2 linked regions of the Drosophila melanogaster genome follow. The protein of the gene in region 2 interacts with the protein of the main gene of each other region in a pairwise test. Each region holds a gene or a part of one and is shown on either strand. Other genes may lie near its edges. The genes, in order: CG13742 and Vdup1.

What was found.
Region 1: the proteins of Vdup1 (region 2) and CG13742 interact in a two-hybrid assay, tested with the Drosophila melanogaster proteins (one large-scale study listed by BioGRID).

The regions. Positions count from the first base shown.
Region 1 is NT_033778.4:9,083,804-9,089,272, forward strand, and holds CG13742 (uncharacterized protein), read right to left. Parts: upstream 3,830-5,469; 5' UTR 3,828-3,829; intron 3,768-3,827; 5' UTR 3,755-3,767; coding exon 3,503-3,754; intron 3,448-3,502; coding exon 3,284-3,447; intron 3,218-3,283; coding exon 3,111-3,217; intron 3,011-3,110; coding exon 2,790-3,010; intron 2,730-2,789; coding exon 2,575-2,729; intron 2,524-2,574; coding exon 2,412-2,523; intron 2,290-2,411; coding exon 2,142-2,289; intron 2,090-2,141; coding exon 1,918-2,089; intron 1,915-1,917; exon of another isoform or gene 1,862-1,914; coding exon 1,561-1,861; intron 1,520-1,560; exon of another isoform or gene 1,499-1,519; coding exon 941-1,498; 3' UTR 897-940; coding exon of another isoform or gene 859-896; 3' UTR 799-858; downstream 1-798. Other genes in the region: CNT1 (concentrative nucleoside transporter 1), read left to right, coding at 1-173, 230-557, 618-798, 859-896; Dbp45A (DEAD box protein 45A), read left to right, coding at 4,108-4,183, 4,239-4,780, 4,839-5,005, 5,063-5,421.
Region 2 is NT_037436.4:175,694-180,801, forward strand, and holds Vdup1 (vitamin D[[3]] up-regulated protein 1), read right to left. Parts: upstream 3,271-5,108; 5' UTR 3,140-3,270; intron 2,943-3,139; exon of another isoform or gene 2,804-2,942; intron 2,613-2,803; exon of another isoform or gene 2,181-2,612; 5' UTR 2,145-2,180; coding exon 1,689-2,144; intron 1,636-1,688; coding exon 1,453-1,635; intron 1,387-1,452; coding exon 997-1,386; 3' UTR 809-996; downstream 1-808. Other genes in the region: CG7049 (uncharacterized protein), read right to left, coding at 1-510; CG13875 (uncharacterized protein), read left to right, coding at 5,084-5,108.

The sequences.
Region 1 (5,469 bases), on a different chromosome or scaffold from region 2:
GCGACAGTGGCCGGTACTGTCTTGGGGGCTTATGTGTCCTTCGGTGCTTCCGCCAGCTTTCTTATCGCAGCCAGCGTAATGGCTGCTCCGGGTTCACTGGCTTTCGCCAAACTGTTCTACCCCGAGACCGAGGAATCTCTGACCAGGTCCGACAACATTAAGCTGGAAAGCTCGTAAGTTCCTCTTCATAAGAGTCAACATTTGATAATCGCCCAGACACCTTGCCAAGGACGGATACGTCTATTTTGGATGCGGCCGCCTCGGGAGCTGCAGCAGCCTTGTTGATTGTGCTCGGAATCGTCTCGAATATCATCGCCTTCCTAGCCATTGTGTTCTTCCTAGACGCTGTAACGGAGTGGATTTTCGAGCTAATTGGACTGCATAACATCACCCTACTCTACATTCTCTCCCAGATCTTTATCCCGATTGTCTTCGTGATGGGCGTGCCGTGGCACGATTGTCAAGCAATTGGCCTGGTGGTGGCCCAAAAGTCGTTCATAAACGAGTTTGTGGCTTATAGAAACCTGGGCATATTGGTTAGCGATAAAAAGGTTGATGTGAGTACCCATCTGCATATTCTATTCTTATAGATTATTTTAAAACTAGTATTCTTATAGCCGCGGAGCGCTGCCATAGCCACTTTTGCCCTTTGTGGGTTTGCCAATCCCGGATCCCTGGGCATTGTCATCGCTTCGCTGAGTGCAATGGCACCATCCCGACGATCAGACATCACCAGGGTAGCCTTTCGATCCTATTTCGCAGGCAGTTTCGTTAGCTTTACATCCGCTTCGCTTGCAGGTAAACTGTCTTTATTTACACGTTATTTTTAACCGCCTTATCGCACAACATCTTAATTAGGGATTCTTATTCAAAATGAGTACACAGGTGGTAATTAATTGATTTAGGTAAGTGAGCGATACGAAAAGCATAGAGCAGGGAGCTAGGGTACAATTCCACTCAAATTGGCCATTACCTTCTTGAGCAATTCCCAGTCGGCAGCATCGAAATTCGCGGTGCACTGGGTCAGTTGAAGAGAAGCCTCATATATATTACGAAGGATTTCTTTAGGCGCCAATTCACTCCGTCGACGTTTTAGACTAGAGACCGGACATTTATGATCTCCATGGCGAATGTAGCTTGATTTACTGAGATCAAATGAACCGTCGACAACAGTTCCGGGTTCGACATGCAATGCCTTAAACAATGGGTATATTGCATGGCGGGCACTAAATGCTCTTAGTTGGGCGTCATCGCTGACTTTGCAGGAGTCGAGGAATTTCTCGCGATACCAGTTTGTGCATCCAGCATTTGGAGGCAGTCCCCTAAGTATAAGTAATTTGGTGGATCCATTCGCACGCGCTAGTAGTTTGAAGTAAACATTAGCAAAGCTAATGCTCTTGTCAATGCCTAAAAGTTTATTGGCCATTTCCGATGTCCGCTGAAACCAATGGGAACAGTCGATTTGATCGTGGTGCACCAAAAGTTCCAGTAGAGCAACCTTTGGGTATAAAAAATCAAGGTATGTATATCCATTTTATAAGTGTACTTCTACTTGCTTACCACTTCATAGTACAACTCAACTTTTGTGGGCGCTGAGGTGGAGATGAGTTCTAAGCGCTTCAATATCTTCATTCCCACGTGGCCATCTGATTTTGCGACGACAGACAGGTGCCGGAAGTTTTGAATGCTTATGACAGGAAGTTCCTGCTTTCCCAAGCAGTGGAAGTACCTAAGGAATCGTTGTACATGCAATTGGCTTGGATTTGTGGAAAACATGGCGTAAGAATTATTGCACTTATGCCAGTGAGCCATAGCCTCTTTTATGGCATGATCTGTCCAGCATTTGTTGGCCTCTTTTAGCCTAAAAACATAGAATAGTGAAATAAATTTTAAAATGTATGATTTATAATTACTAACCGAAAGCACAGCATGAGAATATCCGCACACACTTGCGATGTAATAAAATCCTTTTGAAATATGCCGGCACAGAAATACCTATGTAGTTCTATGTTACCCACTAAATACAAAAGACAACCAAACGCATCCAATACTTGATTATAGCGTTCGCCGTGAACAAAATTTTTAGCATCTGTGGGCTCAGTAAGTAGTAAGAAATAAATATGATCGAATCGACACCTTACCTTTAAACAAATATTCAAAAGTTTGTTGTAATGTTCGGCAAGTAGATGGGAGCACATCCGCATCGTCTGTAGACACAGCATTAATAAAATCCATGCAAGCGTCGAAGTAGTCAAATTTTGGTGTACCAAGGACACTGGATATTAAATACTAAAAGGACAAATTTTAGTAACATTAACAAAATCTGATGATGTATTGTATGAATGAATAGTTTTCAATCAAAGTCTATCCGAAGACATTTATTTGCAAGCGATTTCTGAATTTCATCTTACTTCTTGACATTTTTGGAACTTGTAAAGCAGCTCTAAAATATCTAGTACATGTGGTCGTACTAACACAGAAATTAGCTGTTGCTTCTCGATGTCAGAGTAATGTGATGGCCTCCTAAAAGAAAATACAATTATTGCAAATAACCATTTCATTTTTCAAACTTACGTTCGTTCACACATTATTAAGTCCATCAGACAAACAGCTACATCATCATCAACATACACCACACCTTTTTGAAGAATATGATATAACAATACAATGTAGGTCCTGATACCATCTACAAGCTCCTCTAACTTTTCCGCAGGAACAATACGATTGTCCTAAAAAAAATGTCTTGTTAAATAAACTCTTTTACAAATCGTAAGCTTTGTTATACGAACGATGTCAAAAGTACTATTCAAGTGAACGGTAACCACATCACATAGATGAAAAACAGTTTCCCTAAGCCAATTGGGCAGTTTTTCGTCTGTAGGATTAGCATGCCAGGTTGTCATGAAGTGCAAGCAAATATGAGCCAACGTCTCGCCTGTCTGTACAGATAACTGCAGATCACCAGTGCGTGTTCCTTCGGTATCTGCGATTTCCATTATCTTTTGCATCACTGACAATTGTTTAATATAAAGTCTATAATTAGTCTACAACAACTTTCAGATAATACTCAAATTTTTGGGTGTATCAATTCGTTAGTATTCCTAACTTACAGGTCGCAAGGCGAGGGTGGACTTCTGTCAAATTAATGATAGAATCCTTTATTAAAGAAAGCGTTTCGAGTTGAAGATCCGCAACAATCTGGCGATGACTCTTATCGCTGAATGATGTAAGCAAAAATATATAGAAATATTTTACATATAGGTTTTATCCAAGCCCCTCTTACCACATTAAACAGAAGTCGATAATTGTAAAGACAAGATAGGCAAGGATTTGAACCAAACGTTCGCCTGCTTCCAGCAATCGATCCCTGAATGTGGATACAAATTCTTGTGCCACAGACATGAGTTTTATATGACCGCTGTGGACTTCATTGCCAGTTTCTGCTTCCTGAGGACGAATTTAAAGTTAATAGACTGAAGCGCATTGTGTAAGAATTACCTACGATCGTGAACCACTTGCACATTTCCCGAGCTGCTAGTACACAATACCCGGAATCGTCGATGTATGCTCCTAATAGTTTGGTGAACCACAATGTCAAGACATCCACAGGATTCGCGGATTTATTTGCGATACATGCTGAGCAAATGGAAACCGCCGAATCAAAGTCTATCATCAGGATGATGTCCTTCTGGTCTATAGCCACCAGCTCACTGTAGGCTACAGATGCACCCAGGCTATCATGGTTTTCGGACATCTTTGCATTGAGTCTAAATCGAAATATTCAGTGTGTTTACAAAATGATCGCGCCCATAGATGCGGAATCTTACCTGTCTAGAGCGTGACTATTGTCGATTAATTATAAAATGTATTATTAATTTTATAGTGAATTTTTTCTTATTACTCGCCAATAATTCTGCGGTTGAAGTAAATAAAAAATTTAATTGAATTTAAATTAAAAATGCGTACTAAATACAGCTAACCACTCACACGGAGCAAAAATTAAAAACGTATCGATAGTTATATACCGATACAGAAGACAATACTTCCATCACTAATACAGCGCACGTTGTTTTCCTTTTTTATTTCGTTGTATTTTTATTTACCGAAATGCAACGAAAGGAGGCCAATCCCTTTCAGATCCTGGGCCTACGTCCATGGTTGGTTAAGCAGCTGACCAAGTTGGGTAATGTCAAGCCGTCCACGGGTTTACCCAAGTAATTAAACCATTGCGCTTTCAGGCCTGAAGGGAGCAACTCCAATCCAACAGAAATGCATCCCAGCGATATTGGCGGGCCAGGATTGCATTGGAGCTGCCAAGACGGGCTCGGGCAAGACCTTCGCCTTTGCCCTGCCCATTCTGGAGCGGCTGAGCGAAGAGCCAGTGAGCCACTTCGCCCTGGTGCTGACGCCCACGCACGAGTTGGCCTATCAAATCTCCGAGCAGTTTCTTGTGGCTGGACAGGCGATGGGGGTGCGCGTATGTGTTGTCTCTGGCGGCACAGACCAAATGGTCGAGAGCCAGAAGCTTATGCAGCGACCGCACATCGTGGTGGCCATGCCCGGCCGTCTCGCGGATCACCTAACCGGCTGCGACACCTTCTCCTTCGACAATCTGAAGTATTTGGTTGTTGACGAAGCGGATCGCATGCTGAACGGAGACTTTGACGAGAGCCTATCCATCATTGAGCGCTGTTTGCCAAAGACAAGGCAAAACCTTTTCTTTTCCGCAACCATGAAGGACTTCATAAAGGAGTCCAGCATATTTCCCATTGCCAGCGATGTAAGTTTTATGAATACCCTGTTGAATGGTACTAATAGATATCTTAATCCGAATGTAGTGTTTTGAATGGTCGCAGGACTCAGACGTGGCCACTGTAGAGACTCTGGACCAGCGTTATCTGCTGTGCGCCGACTACGATCGCGACATGGTCTTAATAGAGGCACTAAGAAAGTATCGCGAGGAGAACGAAAACGCTAATGTCATGATCTTCACCAACACAAAAAAGTTAGTTGCACAATAATAGGAAGTAAATTCTAAGGATTTAATAACGAATCATTTTAGGTACTGTCAGCTTCTCTCGATGACACTGAAGAACATGGAAATCGATAATGTTTGCTTGCATGGTTTCATGCGGCAAAAGGAGCGCGTAGCTGCTCTAAGTCGCTTCAAGTCCAACCAAATACGTACACTGATCGCTACGGATGTGGCCGCCAGAGGTCTGGATATACCCAGCGTCGAGCTGGTTATGAATCACATGCTTCCCCGGACACCAAAGGAGTACATCCATCGCGTAGGCAGAACAGCAAGAGCGGGGCGCAAGGGCATGTCCATCTCCATATTCCGCTTTCCACGCGATCTAGAGCTTTTGGCCGCCATTGAGGAGGAGATCAACACCAAACTTACAGAGCATCCCATCGATCGTAAGTTTTGTTGGAATTAGTGGCACACAAAATAACTATCTTTAATAT
Region 2 (5,108 bases):
GCCATTTGGATGTCGCCAGTTCACGCCGGCCACTTTGTACCACCAGACAGCGCTCGCCACTCGGAAGTCCTCTAGGTTCTTCTGCTCCAATGGGCTCAAAAGGCTCTTAAACAGAAAACTGTCGCCATATCGCTCAGCCTCCGTGGTGTAGTTAGTGTGCAGAACAAACTTCGCAAAGGCTTCGTTGGAAACCTCATACTTGTCGATGTAGAAGTCATTCAGCTTCACCTGCCGTTCCGGAGCCTCGCGGTCGGCCGGAAAGTGCGGTTTGTCAGTACCCATGTAAACCGTGCCTCCCGGAAGCAGTGACATGTCCGCAATATTTGGCTCCAGTTCGCCATAGTAATCCCGGTAGTGGCTGTGTGCACCCTGTGCTCGTTGCTGGCACACTTGTCCGGAAATGGACGGCATATCCGGGGCCTTCCGGTCGAGCTTTTGGCAGCCACAGTCGCTGGATACGTCATTGAATAAAACTATCCAAATAAAGAGGACTAATATAATTGTTGTCATCTTAACGTGCAGTGTGGCCCTTTTTAGTTTTGGAATCAATACTTAATTTCGCGAATTTAAATTCCGAACAAGCCAGCTTTTTAATAGCATACTTTAGGCTGTAACGTTTTAAACAATTTATTTCAATTTCAACAACCATACTTTTGGGATTATTATTATTATTATAACCATTTAGTAGTAGTTAGAAGGTTAATGAGTGCAGTTTTACCATTTTAATAATATATAACCTACAATATTTAGGTTTTATAAAAAGTTATGTATATGAGCTAATTATAATTTATCAAAGTCTGGTCTTTATGTTAACTTTCGTTTGTATTTGTTATAAATTCTTCAATCATGAACAAATTTTTGGGAACGGAAGACCTACAAATGCAAAGACCAGAAACATTAAAAAACGTTAAGTATAAGTTAAATAAGTTTAAATTGTTGTATGGCGCAAATCGGTCTTAACAAGTTGTGATACACAGCAATCCTAAAAGCTGCGGGCTATGCCTCGATAGGCTTCTCGTGCAGCCAGGGCCGGAATATGGGTAGTGTGGACGGATAGTGGGTGTGCGTGTCCGGCTTAAGCACCGATTCCGGCCAGGTGTTGGCATTGACCGCATCACCGGAGTGTCGAAAGGGGTACGTCGCAAGCACGATAGGAAGCTGTAGCTTAATCTCCTTCTCCATGGACTTGGGTTCGATCACGAAGAAGACGTCGTAGGATATTTTGATCAGGTGGCAGCCATGAAGATTGGTCGGCGGCAGGGGTGGAACGTAAAGCTCGTTGTGCCACTCGTCTTTGGCCCCCGGACGGATCTTGCCACGAACTAAAACAGCCAGCTCCCGTTTTTCCGTTTGCACCACCTTCCCCCGCGCCAAATACTCGATGGTCTAAATAAAATCCAAATAAGATCAAAATGGATGAATTGTAACTAGCCACTTGAAAGCGATACCGACCTCAGTGAGGGATGCCTTAGTCCGTTTAATGGACACATTACTGTAGTTGGATATAAATGCGGTGACCAGAATATTCTCGCCGGGCACATACCCACCGCGATCAAGGGACACTCTGCACTTTATCTGACCTCCACCAACACAGACGACGCCTAGCTTGTGCTCAACTTCGCAGGTGAACGGTTGCTGAGTCAGGCGAAAGGTTAGTTTTTTTAAACAGGGTTTTTAAAGCTACTTACTGCTAAGATGGGCTTTTCAAGGTTTAGGTCGATGGGATTCATCACAATGAAGACCTGGTGGTTCTTATGGATAATGCCATTGTTCTCGCGGAGCGCCGCCTTGCAGTAGAACTGAATCCAGCCGTACCGACCGAGAAATGTAGATGGAAGACCCAGTGGCAAGCCGAGTTTGAAGGGGAAGCTGTGAATTCCTGGCGAGAGTATAGCTGGACCTCCTTGGTCTACGTCCCCCAGAAGTCGCATCCGAAAGTCGATATAGTTCTCCTTATCGTATGTCCGCTCCTGTCGCCGCCCGTTGCGCACGACCCCTTCGCCTACCACATGGAAATGAAGTCCCAAAGCAGGCGTCTCATCCTGCAATTCGATTAGAACCCGTCCGGAGAGAAACTGGCCCGGGAAGTACAGGAGGGAAGTGTTGTCGAAGATGATAAGGAATTTAAGCAACTTGCGCGGCATCGTGCCTCTGTTTTGTTGCCGATTTCATTCGTACGCCTAAGGAAAAACCAACGAAATTCGTTAGAACACGGTTGCCAAATATTTGACCCGCTCCGCACGCGTCATTATGGTTAATGACAACTTATCCGTCATAGCTGGCTAGGTCTGAGACCATGTACTACGGACTACGGTCTCACATACATACGGCGCTTGTTTGCATATTTATGTGGGTAGCATCTAGGCGGGCAAAGGAAACAAAACCAGTTTCGTACGGCCAAGAGATGGCTGCGTGCACAACTATGCAGCACGAAAGCCCCGAACACTTAAGCATCAACTGCAAGGTCGGCGCATGAAGCATGTCGGGCGTGTCACGCCCGCGCCTACAAATTTGGGCAAAACTCCAGTATGTACATCTTTACCAAAAGCGTAAGCTGCAACTGCGACTGTCGGCAAGCCTGTTTGGTGCACTGGTGACAATGTTGATGATTCCTGATTGGGAAACAGAAACCGAAAAGAAAACTGACGTAATTTCCTAGTGGAAAGCGGATTCCCAACCGTACACTGCCATTGGAATGATTACATTCAAATTGTTCAACATTTTTGTTTTTATCCACAACAGATCAATTGTTTTCTCTTCATCCCTGTGGGCGCACTTGAAATAATGATCGCTTTTCAAATACCTGTACACACAAAGGTGTTTTTTGGCCAGATCGGAACACCAGTCCAAACCGAACCGATTTAACCCGTTCTGCCTTTGAGCGATATTCGTTTGGCAAGATCTCGTCCACGCTCTCGAGCGTTTGTTTGGCAACTGATCACCGTCGTCGTCATCGTCGTCGTCGTTATGCATCAGTTTGCGGACGAGAGCTCGACTGAAAAACTTGTTTTGAGCGCGTTTTTGCGAGGGATCGTTTGAGAGAGGCCCAGCCGGAGCCAGCTGATGTCGTAATGCCAATAAGTAGCCCGCTTTTGTTTTTACTATCTTTTGCATTCATGTAATACATGGCTGAATTTACCTTTCCAGCGGGCTTACAGGATACGCAAAGCGCGTATCTTCTTGAATAAATTCAAACGGAAAAAACTGGAACGGCACCACAGACAACAGAAGACCAAACGAGCATGAGAACCAAATTGTCACCTCAACGGTTAGCTAAGCTGTTCAAACTGAATCGATTATAGGAGCAATTTGCTAATAATATGGCAATGCTCGCAGAGTCGCCCCGCTATAGCTCAGCAGGTGTATCTTGTGTTACTCGGTTGCACCTAGAAAATAAATCTGTATTTCCAACACCAAGCCCATATTTTACAGGTATTTATCCATAGTCGACAAATCGTGTGCAGACTAAAATGGATAAAGTGGCACACATTTATGCATTATGCATGCATTTAATACCGGTTATTTGTTGTTTTAAGGTACCCAAATCGAAGAACCTCAACTGTAGCTCATGAAAATGAAAGGCCAAAAGCCAAGCAAACTATCACTGGCTGCGAAAACCGAATCGGTGAATGGCTCGGCAGCCTGTGGCAAGCTGTGGCAAGCTATGGCTATACCCTGAAAATTAGTCAAAAAATGAGTCCTGTGGCAGATACCTTGAAAACTTTATTAAAAGGAATCTGTAGGTTATCCTTATGATCGACAAAGTATAAGATAATATTAGAAAGAGTAGAGATGCAACGATGGTCAAACTATATATGGACTGAAGAAATCAATCGTTTTGAAGACTATGCTGGCTATAAGAGAAAACAAATCACTTTCGTATTTAACTTTTCCAGCTTTTCATATTTCTTCCAACGGCATTAGTGACATTTAGTAGCAATGGCTAGGCTATAGTTTTCCATTTCAATGTTTCTCGGCTTAATTGCTGGGAGTTGTTGTTTTATAATGACCCAAGTCTTTACCGCGAAGAGAGATTTCAACGAGACTCCAAAGATTTCCCGTTTGTGGCCTCGACGTATAGAGTATCTGAAAATTAGGTTGTTTCGAATAGAGACGTCTATACTAGTTTGGTTCAAAATGATAATCGCTTGAGCTCGAAGTTTCGTGGAGCCCACAACTAAGTATTCTTGAGTTAAAGTCAGTGTGGTTTCAAAGCTGCTCCGCGCACCACCGAACCGATCTCCGAATCTCAGCTCTGTTTATCATTTTTCTGAAAGTCCGGCGCTGAGGAACCTATAGTAAGCCTATCTCCATCTCTTATAATAATAGCGAAAGCCAGACGTGAAGGCAGAGAATATCTTGGTGTAACATCAATCACCAAGGGGGAGTGGCTGGTCCACTCCATAAACTTACCAACGATACCGTAAAGTCTCAAAGAGAAAAACAAGAGGTGTAGCAGAGCTACACCTGCAAAACTTTCTCATGCCCAACTGGCTGGGCGCATTGGCCACTGTTTTCGTTGCTCTTGCCTTGTTTCACCTCTCTGGCACGCTCTCCCTTAAATCGAGCTGCTTCTATGTCCGACTTGGGGCAGTGGCTCAGTTGTGGCGAAGATACCGAGCGCGCTGGTAAGGCACGGTTCGCATCGAAAACTTTAAACTGTCTTCGGTCGGGCCAGTGGAACGCGAGAAAGTTAAAATTGTAACAATAAAGACACTCATAATAGCGCTCCGTGAGTAACTTAGTGTTTACATGAAGAAGGCTGATTCTAGTTCATCACTGGTCCAATCGAAGCGCCATACACAAGTTACCACAGATTTTCATAACTAGCTAATGACCGAAATTGACACGTTCTGACGGCCGCAGCCGATGAGAGGACCTTATTCTAAAGAAGAACTGTTAACTAATTGTCAGCTCTGCTTACAAGCGGTTAGGTTGCATAAATTACACCAAATGGTTTGTTCGCCACGCTTCTTATACCATATCTGTATTAGCATATCTAAGGTTCTCTTTTGGCTAACCCCTTCCTTTGTGATGCCTCCATAGAGCACTAGCTTACACAATAACCAGTAAAGGCTTCGGGATGCAGAGCCTACCACTACCAGGAG